2 linked regions of the Oreochromis niloticus genome follow. The protein of the gene in region 1 interacts with the protein of each later gene in a pairwise test. Links are inferred from orthologs where the notes say so. Each region holds a gene or a part of one and is shown on either strand. Other genes may lie near its edges.

Evidence for each region.
Region 2: the proteins of srebf2 (region 1) and nfyc interact in binary tests that used the Homo sapiens proteins (3 or more experiments, as listed by UniProt). The link is inferred for Oreochromis niloticus from reciprocal best matches to the Homo sapiens genes SREBF2 and NFYC.

Annotation. Positions count from the first base shown.
Region 1 is NC_031969.2:10,060,726-10,072,664, forward strand, and holds the start of srebf2 (sterol regulatory element-binding protein 2), read left to right. Parts: upstream 1-6,964; 5' UTR 6,965-7,228; coding exon 7,229-7,319; intron 7,320-11,470; coding exon 11,471-11,856; intron 11,857-11,939. Other genes in the region: ccdc134 (coiled-coil domain-containing protein 134), read left to right, coding at 205-330; uncharacterized protein LOC100696172, read left to right, coding at 3,160-4,596.
Region 2 is NC_031985.2:22,025,957-22,038,394, forward strand, and holds the start of nfyc (nuclear transcription factor Y subunit gamma), read right to left. Parts: upstream 4,962-12,438; 5' UTR 4,813-4,961; intron 1,836-4,812; exon of another isoform or gene 1,721-1,835; intron 1,508-1,720; exon of another isoform or gene 757-1,507; intron 1-756. Other genes in the region: uncharacterized protein si:ch211-13c6.2, read right to left, coding at 6,068-6,306, 7,408-7,639, 7,743-7,844, 7,965-8,030, 8,110-8,218, 8,315-9,230, 9,348-9,393, 9,512-9,631 and 2 more. UniProt on the Homo sapiens protein: Component of the sequence-specific heterotrimeric transcription factor (NF-Y) which specifically recognizes a 5'-CCAAT-3' box motif found in the promoters of its target genes.

The sequences.
Region 1 (11,939 bases):
GCCATCATCCATTATTATTCTAGCCTGATACCTGGTAACAGCTTTCTTAATACCCCAGAGACTCTCTGGGTACACCTTTGCAACCAGCAGGAATAGAAACACATGCAGATCTTTGCTTTGTTTTTCGTAGAAATTCTCTAAGAAAACACAGCCTCTCTCACATGGCGACTTTGATCTCCCCGCGCCCTTTCTTATCTGCCGCAGGTGCTTCACACAGCCGAGGCTTTCCAGAAGATCCTGAGGGAGGAGGAGAAGAGGAGGAGGAAGGAGGAGAAGAGGAAAGAGATCAGGAAAGGACCTCGCATATCCCGCTCTCGCACCGAGCTATAGCGCTACACCTCACCGAGCGTGAAGAGCAGAGGAGAGGGAGGAAGAGGAGGAGGAGGAGGAGATGAGAAGGCGCGTACACTCGCAGTCCACAAGGGGTGGCTTGACTTGTAGACTCTGGTGACAGTGAAGAAAAACAAAAAGCTGCCGTCACTTGTACAAAAGCCAGGTGCTCGAGAAAGAGAGAGAGAGAGAGAGAGAAAACCTGAGTGTGACAGGAGGGGGTTAGTCCACATCTGGGAAAAGCCTGAGCTGCTGTACATCAGCAGTTCTTTAGAATTTGGGGGGAAGGAAAAAATAACTAGATAAATAACTCTCTGGAGATGAAGTTAAGGCAAACTCATTTTTGATAACTTGAAGATTATGTAACTGAACTTTGGGATATTAATTCATTTTAGTCTAATCGTTTTTCTTCAGAACTTTGCGAAGCCCCCGCTGTACTGTGTCTGGTCTCGGTTTAATGTGTCTAAAATCCCATACGCTTCAAGTAGGTGCGATTGCCAAATTTGACCTTATGGAAATGTGGCATGTTTATGGTTGGGTTAGGCTCGACCGCTGATTGAATATTATTTCTAAGAGCTGTTGAATTTCCCAAAGGATGTTTGTGAATAGGCAGATTTACATTCCCACTGCTGCTCAGAATTAATAAGGAGACATAATTATGTTGCGTTTGCCTGAAGGATGCCGTAATGACAAAGATGGGTTCATTTTTATGTCTGCTATTTTATTTCCATCTGAGGGACTCATTTGAGAATTTTTTTTTTTAATTGACCATATAGTTTTTTCTGCCTTAATGAGCCTTCACATTATTTTTATCCTGTCAACCGGAAATACAACATGTGACCATTCATCTAGAAGTCCCTCGTCTTTAACCTTTTTTCCATATTTTTTTCCCTTCCTTTTTAAATTGACACGTTTTGTGGATTCAGAGCTACACAATTGAGAGTGATGTAATTTTCATATAGTAATAATGACTGTTATGAAAACTATATGTATATTCAGAGAAAAATATCATTGCTGCAGAATGAACAAGCCATTTTGTTAACACGTGTAATGAAATAAAGTGACTCTGATACATAAGGAAGAAAATTATATATATATATATCAATATATAGATATATATTATATTTGTACTTCATGTGGCTTCATAGTGTAGGGATGTCAATCTCATTTTACATTGTGGGCCACGCACAGCCCTCTTTGACCATAAATGGGCCGGACCAGTGAAAGTACAAAATAAATAATACAAGTAAAATTACAGAAAACGCTCTGGTAGTTCATTACACAGACTGTCCCTGTACTTATATAATATAAAGGTTTTGTTAATTCACAAAAAATGTCTCTCTTTTTTTTTACTGTGTCATTTACCTGTCATTTAATTGTTTATCTGTTTATTAATTACTCTTATTATGAATGGCAACTGGGCTGAGCAGTCTTTATCAATAGGAAAAACTGTAACACAAACTCTATACAAAGAATCAGGGCTTTATATGTGACAACTCTACACTTTGGGGTTTGCACATTTGCATAATAACAAACAAAAGGTTACCGGTTCGAGCCCGGAAAGACACGCAGATCTCTTGTGATTGTGTCAGGATGGGGGTTAGAAAAAAGAAGTAATCTTCCAAATCATACATGTGAATATGAGAGCGGCTGAAAGCAGCCCCCTCTGTGCTCCACAGACCTGCTACATTTGTTTTGTTGAGCAGATGAACCGACAGAGGGCAGGAAACCGTCAAAGACACAAAGTCCAGTGTTTGCATTTCATATGCGGGCTGAACAGTTTGACTTCAGCCCATCTGTGGCCGCATGTAGAGGATGAAGGGCAAGCTGGCATGCAGAGAAGAAACGGCTTTTTAGTCTCTCTGCGAAATGTTTCATCATTTGGACTCTGGTAAGATCATACTTTGATGTTTCTGTCAAAAGTTAGCGACTTGCTAACGAAAGCTAAGCTAAAGCCGTTAACGTGCTAAGGCCGAATTATTAGCAGGCAGTATAATTAACGACATTAAAGCGTGAGCTCTTCATTCGACATTTGATGTTTACTTTCAGGGTATGTTGTCACTGGGTGGTGTTAAAGTTAGACACTTAATTTAACCACCTAGTGGATGTTGCTAGCTTCGCGTCCCTCTTGCTTGTAGCTAACCTATTGATGTTTTGTTTATGTGCAAGAAGCTTCCTGATGCTCTCACTTTACAAAGCTCATTACATTGCTGTTATCTTTCCCAAAGACACAAAGTGGAGATAATACAAGCCTTGGCTGCTGTCTGCTTTTTCACTGGCCATTACATTTGTAGTGAACATTTAAAAAAAAATAAAAATAAAGTAGTCTGAACGTTAACGCCAAATTTTTTCTGCTCCTAATGTTCTGTTAGAAGACAGGGAGGGGAACAAGGAACCAGTACACATGGAGTGTGAGAAGGAAGGAGTCGACTCTGAGACCAGGTGGGGCGAAGAGCTCAGACTGGTCCTCATTGGAAAGACCGGATCTGGCAAGAGTGCATCTGGGAACACCATCCTGGGCCGCAGGCAGTTCCTGTCACAGGTCAGCGCCAGCTCTGTCACTCAGATTTGCGAGATGGGAAGCACTGAGCTCGCTGAAGAAGATGGCCGGGCCGTCCCACAGAGGAGAGTGAGGCGAATCATGGTTGTTGACATGCCAGGTTTTGGAGACACTCACCTCAGTGTGGAGCAGATTCACGCAGAGATTGCCAAATGTGTCTCTCTCTCTGCCCCTGGCCCCCACGCTTTCCTCCTTGTGGTGCCAATAGGACGATACACAGACAACGAGAACCAGGCTGTTTGTGAGCTGGCCAAGATATTTGGGGGAGGATGCTGTATTTCACCATACAGTGGTTCTTTTTACCAGGGGGGGATGACCTAGAGGGCATGGTGATAGAAGAATATCTGAAAATGACTGCACCTCCTGGGCTGAGGGCTCTGATAGACAAGTGTGGGGGTAGGTACCATGTTCTCAACAACAAAGACCCCAGTAACACAGCACAAGTTAAAGAGCTCTTGGTGAAGGTAGACAGCATGGTGAGGCAGAGTAACGGAGGGTTTTATACTAACACCATGTTTTTAGAGGCAGAGGCTGCAATCCGGGAGGAGCAGGATAGGATGTTGGGAGAGCGAGGGCAAGCAGAGGGTGAAGACCAAGAAGGAAGTAACTGCAGAACTGAAGAGGAGGCTAAACTTGCAAAAAGAAGAAAATGTGATTTAGAGTCTGACATAGCAGGAAGCAGCGAGAGAGGATTACAAGAGCTCCAGAGGAAAGGGGTAGAAAGAGGAAGTGAAGATGATCTAAGGGTGGAGAAATGGGCAAAGGAGAGCAGAAGCAGTCCCTTCAGCCTGCTGAGAGACCAGATCAGAGGCCGACATCGGGGCCAAGGCAGAGCTGTCAGCCGGCGGCCATCTGTCCGGTCATCACTGATTCGTTTCAGGAGGGAAGCCGCGCTCTCTCCCAAGGTGCTGGAGAGAGTTAAGGTCCTGGTGGCTGCTGGAGCCACTGGCATGGCAGTTGGGGCAGTTTTCGGAGCGGCTGCCCCTTTGGCAGCTGCAGCTGGGGCATCTCTTGCTGGGAACTCGATTGGTTTTGCTGCAGCTCAGTTAGCTGGGATGTCCGTGGCGGGAGGCTCGGGTGTGGGGAATGCCGTGGGCGCCATAGTGGCGGCAGCCTCGGGGAAAACTGCAGTGGCTCTGGGCGCAGCAACAGGTGGAGTTCTGGGTAGTTCTGTGGGAGCCATTGCTAGCGCTGAGGCTTCCAGTCCTGCAGAAGGTGCTTTAGATGCCCTCACCCAGGTTAGCATCATAGGGGCCACTGCAGTCGGGGTGGCGGCCGGTGTGGGATGCACCATGGCAGGTGGGGCTGCTTTAGGAGCAGCTCTGGAGGGAGCAGCTGCCCTCGGTGGAGCTGAAACTGCAGCAGCAGCAGGAGTAGCTCAGGGTAGTTTAGCGTCAGCAGCCGCTGGGACTCCTCAGTGTGCTGCTGCCTTAGCTCAGGAAGTGGCCGCTGGTGCTGCATGTGGGGTAACAGGACCCAGTGTGGCAACAGCAGCCAGCAGGGTTGCATCAGACCCGTGGGGCACCATGTCGGCAACAGCACGCATCCTGAGCGCGGTGGCCGAAATTGGCAAAGCTGCAGCCGGCATCGCCCTCGCTGGTGGTCTGGTGGTGAAGGTGGTGAAGGAAAAAGTGAGAAGCGGCACAGGAACGACGGAGGCTTCCTACTCAGAGAAGAAGTCTTATGAAATCTACTGGAACAAATAAATACAGGCTGAGCGTAGAGTCCAAATCCAGGATGTAAGAGATGTATTTTTCCACCTTCACAATAAACACCACACAACACAGTAACTTACTGCAGTGAGGGATATTTTTACATGGTTGTAAATGATCAAAGATGCACTGCTAGCAACAACATCTGTGTAATAAAGTTGTATGCAGTATTAATATGAAGCCACTTTATGAGGAAAAGGTAGAATCTCTCAATCTAAATGTTGGTTCAAGCCGAAGCTGAATAATCCATGACATTTGCACTTGTGTGGGATGACTGAAAGGCATATTAGATGGGTGTTGATTCTGCTGTTTCTTATTTTTAAACATGTTAGAAGGTTGTGATGCATTTCAGTGCTGGTTGGTATTTAAACACACCTTAGTCCTTGAGCACACATCATACTTAAAAAAAATTTTTTTACAGTGAGTATAATAAACAGAAAAAAGTGTTTGCCATGCCAAATATGTATATGAACAAAGTGGACTAATGACGTATTGAAAAGTTTCCATCCTGAATGATTTGCAGTGATTGGCTGGTTTTATTGCACTGTTTAACATCATGTAATAATTAAACCAGGAGAGTTATACAGTTATGTATTAACACAGGTAAAACATATGCTGCAAATGAGTTAGCAGTTCATTCATGTGTTTTTGCAGTGAAATAAAGAAAATACAAATATTGTTGCAAGAACTAACGTTTTTGGCTTCTTTTTTCCTTGTGGAATTATATTGGTGTTATCTTTTTGAACACCACACATGGCAGTATAATCAACTATGGTTCTCCATTTGAAGAATTCTGAAACACATTAAGTAACAATGATCATGCTTAGAATTAAGATCTGTGCCATTTTAAATGTATAGATTTGATGACTTTGTTAGGTACACTAATACCTGGTTGGAAGCCCTTTTGCCTTCAGAGCTGACTTAATTTTTCCTGGCATGGATTCAACAACAACGTCCCAAAGATGCTCTGTTGGACTGACGTCTTGTGACCGTGGAGGCCATTTGAGTACAGTGAACTCATGTTCAAGAAACCAGTTTGAGATGATGTCAGCTTTATGGGTATGTTATCCTGTGAGAAGCAACCATCAGAAGATGGGTACACTGTAGTTATAACTGGATGGGCATGATCAGCAACAATACTCAGGTAGGCTGTGGTGTGATGGTCAGTTGGTACTAAGGGGACCAAAGTGAACCAAGAAAATACCCCCCATATCATTAAACCACCACCACATAATACAGGGCAGGATAGATCCATACTTTTCATGTTCACGCCAAATTTGAACCATACCATCTGAACGTGCCAGCAGAAAGACCCGTCAGACTATATAAAATTTTTCAAGTTTTCTGTTGAGCAGTTTGGGTGAGCCCATGTAAAGTGTTGCCACAGTTTCAGCTGACAGGATGAGCACCCAGTCTGGTCTTCTGCTGCCCATCTACTTCAAGGTTCAACGTATATTTAGCAATGCTGTTCTGCATACCTTGGCTTATTTTGCCTTCCTTTCTAAAGAACTCTGGCCATTGTCCTCTGACCTCTGACATGAAAAAGTTATTTTTACTCACCGAACTTCCGCTCACTTTTCTGTTTTTCAGAGAATTCTCTCTGGAGATGGTTGTCTGTGGGAAATCCCTGTAGATCAGCAGTTGCTAAAACACACAGCGCAGCCCATCTGCCACCAAGTTTATGCCAATAACCTTAAAGCCACTTAAACTCCCATATTTCTCCATGTTTCTGGTGCTCAGTTTGAACTTCAGCAGGTCGACCTTATCCACATGCCTAATGTAGATCTCTGTATCTCATTGTACAACTGTATAGTGACAATAAAGGCATTCTATTCTATTCTATTCTAAATGTGATTGATTACCTACCTAATAAAGTCGCAGGTGACTATAGATGGGTAGCTCAACTGTAGTTCTTTCATTTTTATTAACACAGTATCATACAATTTTTATGCTTAAAAAGTAAAACTTGGAGTATATGCCATTAACCTTTTTTGTCTATAACACAACTTGTAATCTTTGATGGGTTAAAAGGTAAACAATAAATAAGATAGTATTAATCCGTACGCTGGAAAACATGCTTAAGAAACGAGTGAAACTGTTAAAACGTGTATTTTTGCGAATGACTGCAGAATGACTGTGTGTGTTTATCGCCGTCATCTTTTCCAAGGAGCAGCATTTGTCCACCGAGGTCGGGTTCTTTTCATGAAGGTAGGGGGAGCGGTTTATTCAAATGACACCCAAGCTTCTGATGGTTGACGTACTATCAGACCACGGCGAATACTGGCCTGTCATTGGACGATGATGACTGGTCTCATGACAAGAACGGACAGGTCTCAGCCAATCAGATCCCGCTATGGGCCACGGAGTCTGTTTGTGAATGACGTAATGAGCGTGAAACAAGATGGCGTCGCCTCAAACATAAATTGATGCCAATGAGTTTATCGGTGTAGAAGTGCTCCTCTCTTGGGGCTTCTGTGTTGTTTTGGGGTTGTTCAGGTGAAAGGACATATTCCGCGGTCAGTTAGGTGTGTGGTAGGCGTTGCCGAACGCCCACGGAGGAGCTCGTGGACCTTGTTTGTTTTGTCCCTCCGGTGACAACCGGAGAGGAGAGCTGCTGACAGATAGGATGGACAGCGGGGAGTATATCTCCACCATGGAGAACATGGACCCGACTTTAGCGGAATTAGGGGACGAATTCACCTTGGGAGACATTGACGGTGAGTGACCGTGTCACTGTTTAAAAAAAATTAGGAAGGGTAAGCTGTGTTTCACGAGTGTTGGCCTGTTTCCGTTTAGCCCGACAGCTGTTCTTCCTGCCGAGCGGAAGGAGATGAGCAGCTCTGGCTCTTAATTCTTGCGACAATGTTTAAGTATTCAAGATACCGCTCAGGAAAAAAGAGAGCACTTATATTTAGTAGTCCTCGAATGCTCTGTTATTTTGGCATTATCGTTGTGTATTTTCTTCTGTTTGTTTCTCTAATCCCCCCCACACACACAAAAAAAAGACAAAAAAAAACAAAACAATCACACAAACAATTAACCTAAACTAAAAGATGAAGAAGTGATACTGTTGTTGTCTTGACTCCTCCATAAGAAGTGTCAGTTACTTTCTGACCTTCTTCTTGTTCTTGAAGGAAGCTTTTCCTCCTACTTGAGCATCTTTTTGCTTCTGCAGACCTAATTGAGCATCATCTGTGGGACAACATCTCTGTCAAAAATAAATAAATAAATAAATAAAACAGATTGCGTTTTGCAGTCTGTGGGCCTGTACCCTGTGAACAAACAGCATCCTTGTTCCAACTTCCCTGTTATCAAAACATGTTTCACCCTTTGGCACACAGTGAAAGGATGGGGGCTTTTGGTGTGAGGCTGGCCAACGCAGAGTCACCAGATTTTTATTAGGGTGGAATTTTACTGAATGCTAACCCACCAGACCGGATTGATACACGTGTGTGTGTGTGTGTGTGTGTGTGTGTGTGTGTGTCGCACAGTATGGGATGAATTGGTTGTGTTAGGTTTAAATTAGTCATCAGCATACAACCAACCAAAGTGCTCTGAGATCATGCAAAGCCCAATAAAGATTACTATGTTTTGTTTTTTTTAAAGCAGTATGCTCTACTGCTTGTATGTTTAATTTGTTGTTTGTGATTGTACAAAAACCTTTTTCAATAAAAAGACTTTGATTAAAAAAAGATTACTATGCATGGGTTTGAAAACCTACCTGCCGGTGGCATCTGGTGTTAATTCTCTGTGGTGAACAGCCCATGTCACAGCTATTTAATCTCACTTAATCAATGTGTCAAAAGAAGAATGTGCAGATTGTGTGAAAGTCAAATGACTGTTGAGGTTTGACTGATCCTAACTTGACTTTTGCTTCACTCAGTGCATTTTGCCTGCAGCTATTTGGGGGAAAAATGCAGGTTTCCCATGAGGAAAAGCATTTAACTGCTGCAAATTCAGATTAGTCACGAGCTTTTCTTTTGTGCATTTGACTCCGTATTAATGTCGAATATTCTTGCTTTTCCAATTATTCACTTAACAACTGCTGCTCTGCTTATGTAACTTATTTTCTCTGCTCTCAGCAGCCCACAAAATTGTCCCCCACTACACCCTCACCCTCGCCCTGTACCCCCATTTAATGGATTTACCCTTTGTTTCGGAGTCTCTGTCTGAAGCTCCAGGGGCTCAGAGTTGCTTTGTTCTGTCAGCCACTGTAACCCCCTCCCCTCGAGGTGTTGAAGTGTGCGAGTGCCCTACTGTAAGTGTAAATTCGACTGGATGGTTGGTAGAAACGCTCCTGAGAGGAAGCCCATTTAGTGTTCCTGTGGTGCGGCTTATTTGAAATCACGTCCTGCGCTCCTCTGGGCTCACTTTTCAAAGCAAGCCTCAAAGTGTTTCCCTTTTATTGGTTTTGAAAGTGGTCATCACTGTTTCTTTACCTCTGTGTCAACACAGGTCACATGCAGACTTCAGTCATGGCTATGAGTGCATGAATTACTGGCCTTGACCTCTCTGCTGCTAGTGTTGGACTGTTGATCTCTTTTTTTACAGCTTGAGATTTTGCAGCAGTAGAAATGCAGATATGATATATGATCCAAGATGAGATCTGAACACAGATGAGTTTGTTTTAAAGACTTGTTGGATTTCAATTCATCTCTGGAGTTGGCAACCCGGCACACTGATGAGAACGAACGCCTTTTATTGTTTTTGTACGCTGCACTGAAATGCAGCGAGTGATCAAAGACAAAGCTGACAGGATGCTGGCTTCTTTTCCAAACATATCTGAGAACCTTTTGGTGTTTTAAAAAGTTTGTGAGTTTTCCTTCTTCGCTTTGCAGCTTCAAGCATCTATTCTTGTACCCCAGTGCTTTTTGTGTTGCGTTTGTTTCGAACATTACATCATTAAAGTAGAAATACAAAATGTCCTGCAGCGATATTGTGCTAAAAAAAATGTAGGAACCTTATCTAGAAGTCAAATCACCAAAAAAGGAAGCAGTAACTTTATTGCAGGCATAAAAGATGCAGAACATGTTTCACTGCGCTGGGATTGATAAAGGGTCTTATAGTACTGTATTACACAGTCGCCTTGTATTTTCCTGATGCCAAAAAAATCACTCATTAATGCAGGAAAAATTCACTCACTTTGAGGCTGCAAAGTAGTGACTGTAGTTAACTTTAACATGTGGCTTGCAGGGCTTCTTAGGTGTATTGATATGTGGTGTCCAAGGGTTGTGCGCTTAGTGATTTAACACTTGACAAAAAGTTCTTTGTGTCTTTTGTATTGCCTGATTTCTCCGCCTCACATTAAGATAAAGTTCAAGGTTACAGGCTCAGCTTATTGACGCTGCGCTGACCCTGAGAGCTAAGGGCATAGGCACTATCAGTGACATAAGCAGGCAAGCTTCAACCACATGGGATACGTCAAAAGTGTTTTCAGTTCCAAAGTCCTGTGAGAAATTCTGCAAAGCGTGCACTAATCAATTCTTTTCTCTGGTCCCAGTGATATTTCATAATATCGTTGTCTTTTTTTGGAAGGGGATTCATTTTAGAAACTTTAACCTTCAAATTACTAAAGTAAATAATACTTAGCAAGACAGTCATTTGAACCAACACGGTGATTCCAAAAGAGTCAATAGCAACAGCAGTACCATCAGATTTGATCCACCATACAGTAACATCTGGAAATTATCTTATTGGCAGCAACTTCATTTTCCAGCATCCACACAGTGATCCCAAACACAATGCCAACCCAGTAAAAGCATGCCTGGATAGAAAAACACACAATGGAGCGCAGTCAGTGATGGATTGGCCTCCCCAGATCCCAGAACCCAACATTATTGAAGTGGCATGGGATCATCCTGACAGAGGACAGAACAAAAGGCAGCCAACATGCAAACAAGACCTTTGAATGTCCTTCAAGAAGTCTGGAGTATTCCTGAAGATTACTTGATAGGTGCCTAAGAGAGATCAGGCTGCCAGTCATACCAAATATTGACTCTCAGGCTTGTTACAAGTGTAGAAAAGCTCACTTTGCCCTAAATACTGTATTTGTGTGCATGTTTGCCCAAGTTTTGATAAATAGCTGCACATATTACCCATTTTTCTAGCAAAATATAAAGAAATGAGTGGTGGTTCAAGACTTTGGCACAGTACTGCATTTGACAAGAATGTGCTGGGAACATATTGCAAGAGGCTGTGATATGATTATATAAGTGTATTGATATTTTGTCTCAACACTATTTCTATCAGTGATTTTTGCAAACGAAATGTCAAAAAAATGCTTAATATTTTACCTCATACTTAAACCTCATATACAAAAAAACATTCCCAAAAATAATCAAGACATTAAGTTGATCATTGTTTCCTAATAAAACCTCTCCTCACGAGGAGGCAGTTTGTTTTAGATTTAGTACGATGGGTCTAATGAACTGGCAACTAAGTGCATATTGTCATGTTGCCAAACCACGAGGACCAGCATACACACTGTCAGTGAGTGGGTGAGTGAGTGGGTGGGGGGCATGTATCTGTCTATCACGCCTTTCAGAGCTGCTCGATTCTTCATCTAAGTGTTCTTTACTCTTTCTGCCAATCTCTTTTGTAGCATCAATTGAGATTACATCAAACTTCTTCAAGGCCTTCTGTTTGAAGGTTTCTTTATACTGATTTATGACCAGAACAGTAGCTGTGCTTGTGTGGATATCTGTCAATTCAAGGTCAGGTCTTGAAGTTTCTGTTCATATCTTTGGCTGATCTACACTGAAGCAACCTGCACGAGGCCTCACTTACAGAGGAGACTTGCAGAGATGTTCAGATACACCTCAGATGATGTTTTTGACTTCTTGTCTGTTTACTTTCTCCCTATTTTCAGAGATGCTGCAGTTTGTCAGCAATCAGGTGGGGGACTTCCCAGACTTGTTCGATGATCAGATGAACTCAGCAGGCTCTCTGCAGAGTGGTGGAGTCGCCTCCACCCCACGGCCTCAACCTCAAATTGCTCAGACGCCCCAGACACCGCAGCCCTCAACCAATGCTGCCTACCAGAGCTCCAACGCTTGCTTCACCTCCTCCCAGACACTGTCCCCACATTCAGTACCCCTCACCCCTCCCCTCACTCCCGCACAAACCCCCTCCCCCCCAGCCAGTGCTTCAGTGCAGCAACAGGTGACCCGCAGCCCTCCACTCCTTCAACCAAGGCCTCAGATGGTCCAACCCATCCAGCCTCAACCCCAACAGACAGCCCAGACAACCATCCAGGTACAGATTTACCTGACGCTTTCTCACACGCTACTCGTACAGTCCTATTAGGAGTGGAGAAAGCTGTAGTCTGACTGTTACAG
Region 2 (12,438 bases), on another chromosome or scaffold:
GTGAGGGGCCTGGGGGGTCCTGAGGTCACTGCAACCAGCTGCACCTCCACCCCTGGGGACTACTGACGCCAACAGTGACAACAACTCAGAGATATCCTCTCCACATATACAGCAAATCTTCTTTTAACATGGATGTCTTCTTTGCTGCTGAACTCTGCGCCACCATCTGCCACGAAAATGTTAATTGGGACATTAGGAGAAAAAGTGGGGTCTTGGCCAGCGACCCCAAGGACACCACTGAAACAGCAGAGTGCATCTAAGCACAAAGTCAGTATCTGGCTGCCGTGCACTTCTATGCAGTCGATAACGGGGCACTGAGTGCGTGCTGAAGCGTGTTTGTGTGTGCACACTGGTCCAAAGTCAAAACAAGTGACATCCAAAGACAGTGTAATAATGCAAAGTGAAATTCGACAATGAAAACATAATGCAAAACAGCTGGATTATTTTATGAACACCATTCTGTAAAACCATATAGCACTGAAATGACAAATGAAGGACGTAGATGACAGCCATGCACGTAAATACACAAATTGCACAACACCAATCTCCCAAGGTGAGAACTACAGGACAGGTGAGGGGAGGGGGAAGGAATGGGAGGGGGAGGGGTGAGGATGGCGGTAAAGGACAGACATCTCATCGTTGCAGAGAGATGGAGAAACATCCAAAAGTGGACGTTTTTAAAAAAAAACAAAAAAACAAAAAACAAAGACAACTTAAGGTCTTCTCGCTGTGTATGTGTTCAGCTGTCAGACTTACCCCTGTGCCCTTCATGGTGAACGGCCTGGAGCACAGCAGAATAGAGAGAAACAGATAGCCCTGTCCAAGTCTCCTTGAAAGCAGCAGCAGAGGCAGCACAGAGGTTGACAGAAAAACTCTCGTGCTCCTTCACTTCCTTCAGTCCCCCTGATCGTATCAACAGACAAAAGGCACTCTGGCTGGCTTTAAAAAGGCTTTAAGCCCGGACACAGAGCGAAGAGCGAGCCCCCCCCTTCTTCCACCCCTCCCTCTTTTCTCTCTCTCCCCCACTCTGCCTTTACACATTGCCCCGTCTCCTTCAACAGCCTCCCAATGTCCTCTTCCAACCTAGACATACAACCCCGTCTCTGCTGTTTCTCTTCAGCCCAAGTCCCTTCAACTCGCTGACCTTCTCTCTCTTTCTCCTCCTTTCTGCTCCCTAACCCTCCTCCTCCTCCTCTCTAGCCGGCGACCCATGTGTTTGTCTTTGAGGTGACCCCTGGCCTGGTGCAGAGAAGAAGGTGAGAAGGAATAGAAGGACCAGCACAGCGGCAGGCAACAGCGCAACAGCAGGCAAATAGTACAGCGGCACTCCCGACTCACAGACAAAAATTTCTAGCCTCCTTCCCCTTTAACATTCAAGAGTAATCAATCTAGCATGCTACATGATACTCAAACCCCGCCTCGCAGCCAGCTCCCACCTCACTCCGATACTCGAAACCAATGAGACGACTGTGTCCTCATACACTATTGGTAGCCACACACACCAATCAGCTCTGACAAATCCCCTGCTCCTCCTCTTTCCTCTGCCCAACCCCCTTTTACCGACAGCCAACTTCCTGCTCTAAGTTACCTTGAGCTGCAGGATAGGGGTCAGGGAAAAGAAAAGAGGAAGAGAGTAGACATGAGAATAGGTGAAAAAGAGCAGATAAAGTTGTGGAAAGCTCTGTAGGGAGTGCGTGAGGGTGTGCTGGTTGTGGCTTGCCTTGCCATTGTCTGTCCTCAAGCGGTCTCTACTTCTCCTGCTGCTGGACGGATGAGAAAGCTTCCACGGGCTGCTCTCTGACAACTGGTCTCTGCTTATTTACAATGTCAAACTAAATGTCTCCCTAAGCCCCGCCTGCGCTCTGCTTGTACAGGCTGACGGCAATGTGATGCAGGCAGCTATGCGGGCACCTTATTGGCTGAACCAAGTGCCAGAATTGATGCCGCATGTTGCATCCACATGATTTAAAGTACAAAAGCATACTAAGCAGACTCCCTGTCTCATACCTGTGCACGGTCTTACATGCACACCCACACACATGCACATTTTGTCCTTGCATTCTCAGTTATCCTTGCTCACAGTCACAGGTACACACCGAAAACATCTAGCCTCCAGCCAGCCTACCTCTAACAATGAGATTCACATCACTCTTAATATTATTCAAACAGAGGAACAAATATATCTAGATGCTTGGTCATGCATTATGTATTCAGAATATTAATTAGCTAGACAAACTCCATTCAACAAATTTTTTGACTCATGTGAACATTTAGTGAGGCAACTTAATGCAACCACTATAAATCCCATGACACCCTACACAGTGTCAATCAAATATACACAATAAACTATTCTGTGCAAAACAAATCAATAGAGAGCCTTTGTACAAAATGGAACAATCAGCTGACTAGATAGCAGTTGTGGAAGAAGGCAGAGAGAAAAAAGAAAAAGAAAAAAAGAAAGAGTTCATTTGACTCTCATCCTATTTGTGGATAAACAAGACTTAAGAGATATGGGTGAAAACCCATAAACAAAGACAATGTTGTCTTGACCCCAAAAACTGTGCTCACAGCAACTTCCACAATGGAAACGTCATCAAAAAAAACCACGTCAGCAATGTCACACAATGTCCTTCTTGTTAATTCTCCATTGCTTAAATGTGCATACTTTCGACACAAAAACCTTTAGTGTGCAACTCAAGAGAGTGATTTTAGTACTCATGTGCACATCTCATGATGTTTAATGCACCACCTACGACGTGAATGCTTCTACTTCTAATGGGCAAACCTGTTAAAAGCTTAGAGAGTAAACTGCTGAGATACGACCAAGTGGCGGTGCAGCCCGAAGGTTAAGCTTTAATAAAAAAATAAAAAATACAGACTGTAGAGAGGAACACATCCAGCTACACAAGAGTCAAGGAAAGATAATAAACTGCCCTATCAATGAAAAACCGGGGTGGGGGGTGGAGTGGGGACCGGAAGGATGGAGAAGGACAGAGAGGAGAGCTGCTACAGGAAGGGAGGGGTAGAACAAGTGGAGGGAGGGCGAGAGCACAAGATAGACTCAAGAGAAACAAAGCTAAATGTTCCCTTTACTATTTTTGTGAGGAGCATGGGGACTAGAGCAGGTACTACAGACATCCAGTTAATGATTAGAGCAGAGCTGCACAAAGACTAATCTCTCCACTGCTGTTGCCATGCTCGAACAGCTCTCTGTAGCTGCATTCAGTCTACCCAAAATGCCTCAGTAATGACACCTGGCAAGGTCACCACAGAAATGAGACCTTCCCATGACCTGTACTGCCCATAGCAGGAACATGTTTGCTTTCTCTGACGCTGTTTAGAGATAAACATGCACCAACCAGACGTTGGGTTTCATAAACACAGCAGCTACCCTGAGGGTAGCCAGGCCAAGCCATGCATTCACCTGCAAACATGGAAAAACACATGAACACCTGCAAAACGACATGGTAAGCTGGGCGACTTGCACACAGCTTACTTAAGCTGTCTAAGGTGCTCTAATATCCCAGGCTTTTTAAATATGACCTCAACTGCTCAATTAAACCTACACACAAATGATGACGTAAAGCATACCTCCTCTAGAGAGATAAAGTATACTAAGTTGCACACCGTTTTTGTCCCGCTGATAAGAGCTGATTAAGCTCTCCTATTCTTTATTAAGTTCTTATATTCGTGGGAACACAACAAAGAGACTGTATTGTTTTCTGCACACAGGTCGTAGTAAGAATGGGGTGAATATCTGTTAGGTTTAAAGCATAACTAAACTAAATATTAACTTGGTGCATCTTCATGTTGTGTGACTTTGGTTAGTATGGTTGAAAATACAGCTGTATTCATTAATTAAACATTGTGTGCAAGATTTTTTTTTTCCAAGTAATGAATAGTTTAAACAAAGGCATGATATAGTCATCACAGGGAATTCACACGAGGAGTAGAGCAGCTTTGCGCTTTAACACCCCAGCATTTAGCACGGAGGTTGACTTTAAATAGTCGCTACATTATAAGGTGTTTGGGTTCAACACAGCGGCTAAAAGGAGCCAGGGAATTCAATGCTATATTCAACGCTAGCATACGGAAGCCGGTATATATTCGTCACACAAAGGATGCTAAATAAACTACAAAATACTGAGATGCACTGTAGTGCTGTGGTACCCACTGTGAAATGCTTAACGGAGCAGGCGTAGGAAGACACATACAGCATACTAGCTAATAGGATGGTCACTGCTGACCGTGACTTTATGCTAACGTTAGTGGAGTTAATGTTAGCTGGCTGGGGATGCAGACTGATGAGAGCTGTACAGCTCAGCGTGTGTAATTTTAATTACCAGCTGACAGCGAGCCCTGCCAACATATGAAAGTTTGCAAAGGTTTGCAATGCTAGGAAGAAACAGTCTAACCAATAAAGACAACGTTTGGATCTGTCCTTCAGACCAATCAAACCTCGGACTAGATTCCACCAATCAAGGTTTTTAGGGCTAAGTTCGTTCTGCAACTGGCGCCATTCGGGGTCAGGCGCAAATAGCCAGTGTGTCTGACAGTCGCTCAGATATGAGCCAAAATGGTGGACACAAAACATCAGTTTCCTGAGCGTCCGTGATCCTTTCAGCGGGCCACCAATAAGCGCCTCAGAGAGCGGGGAGGGAAATGGCGCCTATGTTCATCTTCCAAAACAATCGTCTATTGGTCAAGAACAGCAAATGAAAAGAAGCGAAGTAATTACAGCTACCTCCAGCCAACACGGACAACTTTCATGTAAACACTCCACAGATAAATGAATTTTAATTTCTTACTCACTTTCTTTATCGGGTTCGAAGTGAAGTCCAGCTCAGCGTATTATTTATTTTATTTAGCCTGCAAGGGGAAACAAGATGGCTGCTATTCGAACCGGAAAGAGTCCAACGCGATGACGTAGAGGTTACGTTCCCCGAGAAAGCGTCAGTGTGAGGTTTTTTGTTTGTTTGTTTTTTATTATTATTTGATTCACTAAACAGTTAATTGCTCAGGTAGTCTATATATCTCCAAGTCCTCATTTATAGTAAAATTAGCAAAGTGACTTGGAAAAAACAAATACATTTTATATATACATACACAGATATATACAGCATATATGCATTATATATGAACCGCTGAAGTTCAAACTGAGCACTGGAATGGGGAAAAAGGTGATTTCATTGACTTTGAATGAGGCATGGTTGCTGGTCTGAATACTTCAGAAACTGCTGATCAACTGAGATCTTCACAGTCAACCAAAAAATATATAGATCCAGTGAGTTCTCTGAGAGAAAATGCCTTGTTGATGTCAGTGGTCAGAGAACAGACTGTTTCAAGCTTAGAGGAAGGCATCAGTCACTCAAATAACCACTCATTAAACACAAATTATGCAGCAGCGTATTTCTTAATGCACAACACGTCCAACCTTGAAGTAGATGAGCTTTAGCTGCAGAAGATCACATTGGGTGCCACTTGTCTCAGCTAAGAACAGGAAACTGAGGCTACAATTTGCCCAGGCTAAGCAAAATTGGGCAACAGAAGATTGTAGACCAGTCAGTGTTTTCCTCAGAGTCTCATTTTCTGCTGCAACATTCAGATGGTAGGTTCAGAATTTGGCATAAATATGAAAGCCCTTCCCTTTATAACCAGTGTTCCCATCTTCTAATGGCTGCAGCCAGCATGACAAAGCACCACGAAGCTCAAATCATTGCAAATTAATTCAGTTAATTCAAAATAAATTCACTGAAAATATGAAATACAATGATGGCAATAAGAGTATTACTTTTCTGGCTGCTGGTCAGTAAGGAATTTGAAAAAAATGAAATGATTACAACTGCAGTAGACAAGTGTTTTAATTCTTACACCAGACGTCAACATTTGATCAACCAAGGTCTTTGCAAATATCCAACACAAACAACAACAAAAAAAAAAAAAAACAGAAAGAAAGAAAAATGAAGGGAAAGAAATTTAAACCCAAATCACATTTTAAAATCTAAGCTTTACCCTTAAAACACTGCATTATAATACATGACTATTATGGAGATTGCAGTGATGACATTTATTTCCTTGCCACAAGTTCCAGGAGGGCGGAGGTGATTTTGTCCAGGTTGTTAGAGTACCGGGGTCCTCTGGGCATCCTGGATTCTTGTTCCATGTGGAGGGGAGGTGCAGAAGAGTGAGAGTCGAAAAACTCTCCAACAGGAGGCTGGTAGTCACGAGACGGCAGGGATTCTGGAAACCTTTCAGGATAATAGGGCGGCTCATCTAAGCAGTTTGTATGAGGAGCTCCAGATTCCTCTGAAAAAACAAAAAACAAAAACAAAAAGAGGAATGAAATTGAATTACATGAAAGAAAGTGGAATCAGGCACACTTCCTCTGACACAGGGAAGCTGAATATACAACTTATTGTTTATTATCTTATTTAACGATGCAATCAAATTCATTTATTACATAAAATCAAAAGGTGAATTTAGACACCTTTGCAAACTATGCCTCATTATACATAAATTGAACTAAACTATCCTAAAAGATACCACAACAAAACTCAAAATACATTCAAAGAAGAAAATCCCATCAATTTTCATTTAAACCTCAAAGTTCATAAGGTTATTTTATTAATACGTCAATAAATTGGCATTCGATCCATACAACAACACATACAGCACAATTCCAGACAAAAGGCGTGATTATACCCCTCCCTCTCCTGTTTATCAGACCTGAACCATGCCTGTTGTTAATGTGATGAACTATACCTGTGGTTATTCTGCTACAGACACATGTTCATGTGGAACTGACTTGAAAGCACAGAGCTGGGAACATCACAGCCTGCAACTGAGCAGATAAATTCGTTTTTAACTGATGAGATATAGAAAGGATTTTGAAATGAAAAAAGCAGCCAAATGATGATTTAAGCCACAGAAGAGGATCTTTCAGCAGGACAATAATTCACAGCCTACCAGCTGCCTGCTGAAAGAATATTTTCTAATAGAGGGGCCCTCCCAGAGCCCTGACCCAAATCCCACAGATCACCCGAGGGATACCATGGAGAAAATTACGTCAGCTGGTCGAAGCTCTGGTTTGGATGAACTGAGAGCCTTGCTGAGTTGAACATTAGGGAAAACTTTGCAGGTATTATAGAAACTGATCTACCCTACCTTTCTGGTACAAGCAGCTCTACTAATGGATGAAAGGGTCTTTAAAGAAGCAACTACTGAGTGGCCTTCTACTGTCTGCCTTTATTTTGAGCTGTATATTGATTTAAAACCTACCATACTTATTTTTGCCTAATATTTTTCAAGAAAATTATGCTTGTGTTATTTTTATTGATATCTCTAACTTTTATATAAGACTATTGAACCCTAATGGGTTTAAATAAACTGCACTGTGATGTACTATACCTTCAAAGCGGCCTCTTTTTGAGTATCTGGAATCTTCGTGTGCAGGGGGGGGATAAACATTGTGCCGCTCCTCTGGAAGATGCTCACGCTGCCTCCAGTCTCTGAAGTCGAGGTCTTCTGACTGTCTGTGGTGCGAATCATCTCTCATGTTCCTCTCGAACGGCGGCTGTCGAGGGTCCAGCTCCATGTTGCTGTAGTTTCTGGGGATCCCTTCTCGACCGTGGCTGTTCTGCTACCATGACAAAACCAAACGTTTTGTTAATATAAGCAAAGTCTTTGTGTTCTTTTACTAATATTATATTAAAAAGACAGGCGGTGTGCAGAATGACTCATACCACAGCTTTCTCCATCTTTTTCGTTTTGAATTCTTTAAGCAGGTTGCAAAGTTTACTTTTCAAGAAGTCAGCCTCTTCAGCATTCTCAATTTCAATGTTGCTCTAAGAAAATGTGAAAGGGGAAAAAAAAAAACAACACACTGAGAACTGAGTGAATAGTTGCATAACAAAAACATGACTCACAAACATGTGCAAGTCGCCAATAACGACTAATTATCTTACCAGCATATCAAAGACGCCCTCCGACTCAGAGCCTCCTCTTTGGTTCATTTCAGGATGATGTGGACCCTAAAAAAGCAAAAGGTCTTGCGTCAATAAAGATTTGTTTTACTGGACATTACTCTACTGTGATGTTAAAATAAACTACCTGTGGTTCTCTGTAGAGGTCTGAAAATTGTCCTCCACTCATTGGTGCACTACCTGGCCTTGCGTCACCTCCAAACTTTGGATTTGGAGATCCATAATTATCCCCATACCTGAAAGCAGCAATCACACATGTAAAAAAAAAAATAAATAAAAGCAGCCCACAACACTTTCCAAAAAAAAAAAACAACTACAATTTTTACACTTACATTTCCCTTGTCCCTTCCACTTCCTCTGGAGTAGCATCAGAGAAGCGGCTCTTTCTTTTCCTTTTACCGTGAACATCATCTTCGGCGCCTCCTTTCAGGAACCGCCTGAATGGCTCTGGGATGTTAGAAATGGTTCTGCCAACATCCATGTGTCTCTGTGAGGCTGGGCCTCCAGCTCTCCTATCAACTGCCTCATCTTGATGCGCCTCTCTCAACTCATGACGATAATCTTGAATTATATTGAACAAATTGTCACGTGATCGGTCCCCCTCCATAGATGGAGAGAAGTTCCTCCTCCTGGCTTCTGGTTCACTTGATCCCTGTCTACCTGCTTTGTTCATACCGTCGTGCCTATCAGCTTCCCTCTCCAGGGACCACCGCAGTTTATCACCTTCAGGGTACATGGCCTGGGAGGGTGAATACTCAGAACGACCGTTCCCACCCCTGACATCCTCAGAGTGGAAATCCTGAACAGACTCTCTTTCTGGATAGGCTCTTCTATAAGGAGGTGCCCCCTCAGGGTAATAGTCAGACTGACCAAGGCCACGAGGCAAATCCTCCCTAAAATCATACTTGGGAGCATCACCTCGCTCAAGTGCCAAACTTCTTTGTGAATCTCCACCATATCCCTCTTCATACTGATGACGATAATCAGAGTCCATGTAGCCTTCTCTGTACGCATGGCCTTCCCTGAAATCCGACCTTCGCGGTTCATCTCTGGTGCGCTCATTGCTAAGCCTGTTCTCCCGCTGGCTGCGCCTGTCTACGTTCATGTTAGGTTCATTCGGAGGAAATGCAGATGCGTTTGGGTAACTTGAGGCATGCTTCCTTCGGTGATAGTCCTTGAGTTCGGGTAGGAGTGGTGGCAAATCTTGTGGGTTCGTCTGCTCCCTGTTTTGCCTCTGCCTTTGGAAAGCTAATAATCAAGTAATAATTAGAGAAAAATACAACCAAACGTTTTCCCAATGTGTCTGTAACCTTTCCTTGTATTTTAAAATTACTTTTTAACCATGTTTAATATCAATCAAGTTACCTCTTGAGCTGTTTGATCTACTCTCGTTCCCCTTTTTGAACAATGACTGAAAAAAAACAAGAACAAAACAAGAATAATAAACATTTACTGTATGTAACAAAATGTATAGAATTTTAGAAGAATGTAAAATATGGTGTGTAATTTGGGTAATTCATCTGGCATACCTTTGGAGTCCCTCTACCATCCTGTCTCTCTATTATTTCTGCTTTGGCGCGCATGATCTTCCCCCCGAGGGTTTGTACAGAGGGTCTATCCCAGGTCACCAAGTCAGGCCGCTTCAATTCCTACAGAAAGGGAATGTGATCTCTCTTTGCTTTAACATCTTATTATAAAGGAAAACAGAATAACAAAGAAGGTTTTAAGTAATGCTCTGAATGCTTTACCACATATTTCTGCCTGTGTTTGCGTCCAATCACATGACAGACCATTTCTGCAAGGACAGCTGACTGATTACAGAGCTTACATAAGTATTTGGGGCCTATTTGTCGGTCACTAGGAGGCCCCTCTTCCAAAAAGTTCAAACCTGGAAATTAAGAACAAACAAAAAGTTAAAAACAATCAAATAATCTGGTATTTTAAAAAAACATCTGCTTAAAACTTTCTGCAAAGTTATTCACCAATGATAGGCTCATCCAGATTCAGGTAATCCAGGTACTCTATAATATCCTTAAACTCCGGTACGTGTCTTCTGACAGACCGTCCTGGGAAGCCACATGCTGATAGTTAGCAAAAAGAAAAAAACTACACAGTGTTTTTAAAAGTCATCATCACAGTATAGCAATAAGACAGAGCAATACTAACTGGTGGTGACTAACTGCTTCAATTTAAACTCCTTATTAGAGGGTGAGTCTTTATTAAGGGTTAACAGGGGTAAGGGAAGATTATAAGTGATTATAAGACAAGGCCTGGTGTACTGTAGCTGCAGCTGAATGGTATAAAATCTTCAGCTTAGATCTTAACTATCGTAGATTTCTGATATACTATCATCTAATGTATGAGCTCCAGTAGAACTTCCAGTCCAGACATTTTATTTTTTTCATGTTGCTTTTTGAATGTCATCAGACGAGGAAAAAAAAATTGTTCCCATGATTTTCTGAAACATGTACCTTGTGTGGCATAATGGATTTATTAGCAAAAAACATCTGAACTCTAATGGTACCTATATTACCAAATAAGAATTTTTTTATTATTTTTTTTTTTTACAATATCCCAATATTATTGTATAAAAAAAATCCCAATAATAGTGTAAATGTTTAATTTACTTGTGCAAAGGGCATAAATAAAACCAAGTTATTAAAGTGCATACTTGTACAACATGTTCCTTTATAAAAGACAGTTACACCAAACTCTGGACAGATCTGCAGAGATGTTTACTTATGCCTTTCATCATCTGAGTGTGGAGTATTAGTGCACCCACAGATGTCCTGCCACTAGAATAACTGAATACATATGTATAGTTGCTAAATTTAGTCAGAGTGGATTTTGAGGGAGTCATACAGGCACAGGCTGGCCAGTGCCATCTAATTTTGTGCAAACAGCTCGTTTGACTGACATTTTTAGAAGTTGTGAAGATTTCCAACAAGCTGCAGCTGTTGCTTGAAGAGCAACACTGGAAAAGCTGCATTTTAGTAGCCGTGTGTGGTTTAAGAGCAGTACAGTATTTTTTCTGATCTTGATACGAAAATGCTACACATCCATTTCAGCAGCTGATCATGTAACACCATAATTAAATCACAAAAAGGCTTTTAATGCAGCCAAATTTGGCCAAAACTGCAAAGATCCAGAAAGGAAAAGAAAAACTTAAATGAGCGGAGAAAATGCAGATGCTTCTACAAGTGCACTTCATGGTAAATAGCATCCAGTCACGCTCGGCGGCACGTATACAAACGCAGGCCCAGTTGGTTCTGTTTTTGAATCACAATGGCAAGTGCAAAACATCAAAGTGGCTTTGAAACAGGGTTCATTCTTGGGACACGAGCGGCAGGAGCTTTAATCGCTTGAGGCACCAACACGCTCTGCGGCAGTGATCTAATAAGCATGGGTAGGACATCAAGTTTGATGCATGAAGGCTGTACGATAATACCTACTGACTCAAGGGCAACAATGTACAGCTGCAAAATCTTCATTGTTTGTTTCCTTGCTACATCCACCTTGTCACGGGTCCTGTTAACAGATGTAGACACATTGCAGCTGCCACAGCTCAGATATATTTTCCTCTGTGTTGGAAACAGGTAACACTTCCATTTATTCTGTTTTTTTCCCCCACATATGCTGATGTCTCTCTTGCATTCCCACTGGCTGGGTAGTAGACACAGGTCATGGCTGAAGTTTCACTGTGAGCTGTCCTAAACTTCTGACCCTGTCAGAAATTTTCCCCAGCCTCTGTTTTGGTAGAAAAGCTGTAAGAACAGCCAGCTTTGATCCTCTCTCGCTGTAAGATGTTGGCTCACCGCTTTGGAGCCACAATCAAAGATGGCACCACTGCCATCCATACCCAGCTCCCCTAATATGGGATTTTTGGGGCAGATGCTGATACTTATTTTCCATCCTTCCATTCATTTAACATTTTTTTTGTCACTTATCCAATTCAAGGTGGTGGGGGGTCTGGAGTCTATCCCAGGTGGCTTAGTGTAAGAGGCAAGGTAAACCCTGGACAGGTCATCAATCCGCGATAGGGTTAACACGGACAGACAACCATTCACACCTATGGGCAATTTAGAATCACCAATTACTTTAACCCCAATAACTGGATGTCTTTGGACTGTGGGAGGAAGCTTGAGTACCCAAAGAGAACTCGTGCAGACACAGGGAGAACATGTAAACTCCACACAGAAAGGGCCCGGGTCAAACAGTAGATTCAAATGATATGTGTATTATGCATCTGTGAAAGGCCGATATCTGCCGATTTTAATCAGCCAACCAATCAGTCAATTCCAATCCTTTTGGGTCATTAAAGGACTTTTATGAGTTCACCTATGGAAGAGTTTGGGAAAATTTGTTACATAGGTGTAACAATAGCTCCATATTGCAGTGGTTCTAACAGCGAAACATCCAGTTTAAACTCAGGAGGAGACAAACATCCCTTTTGGCT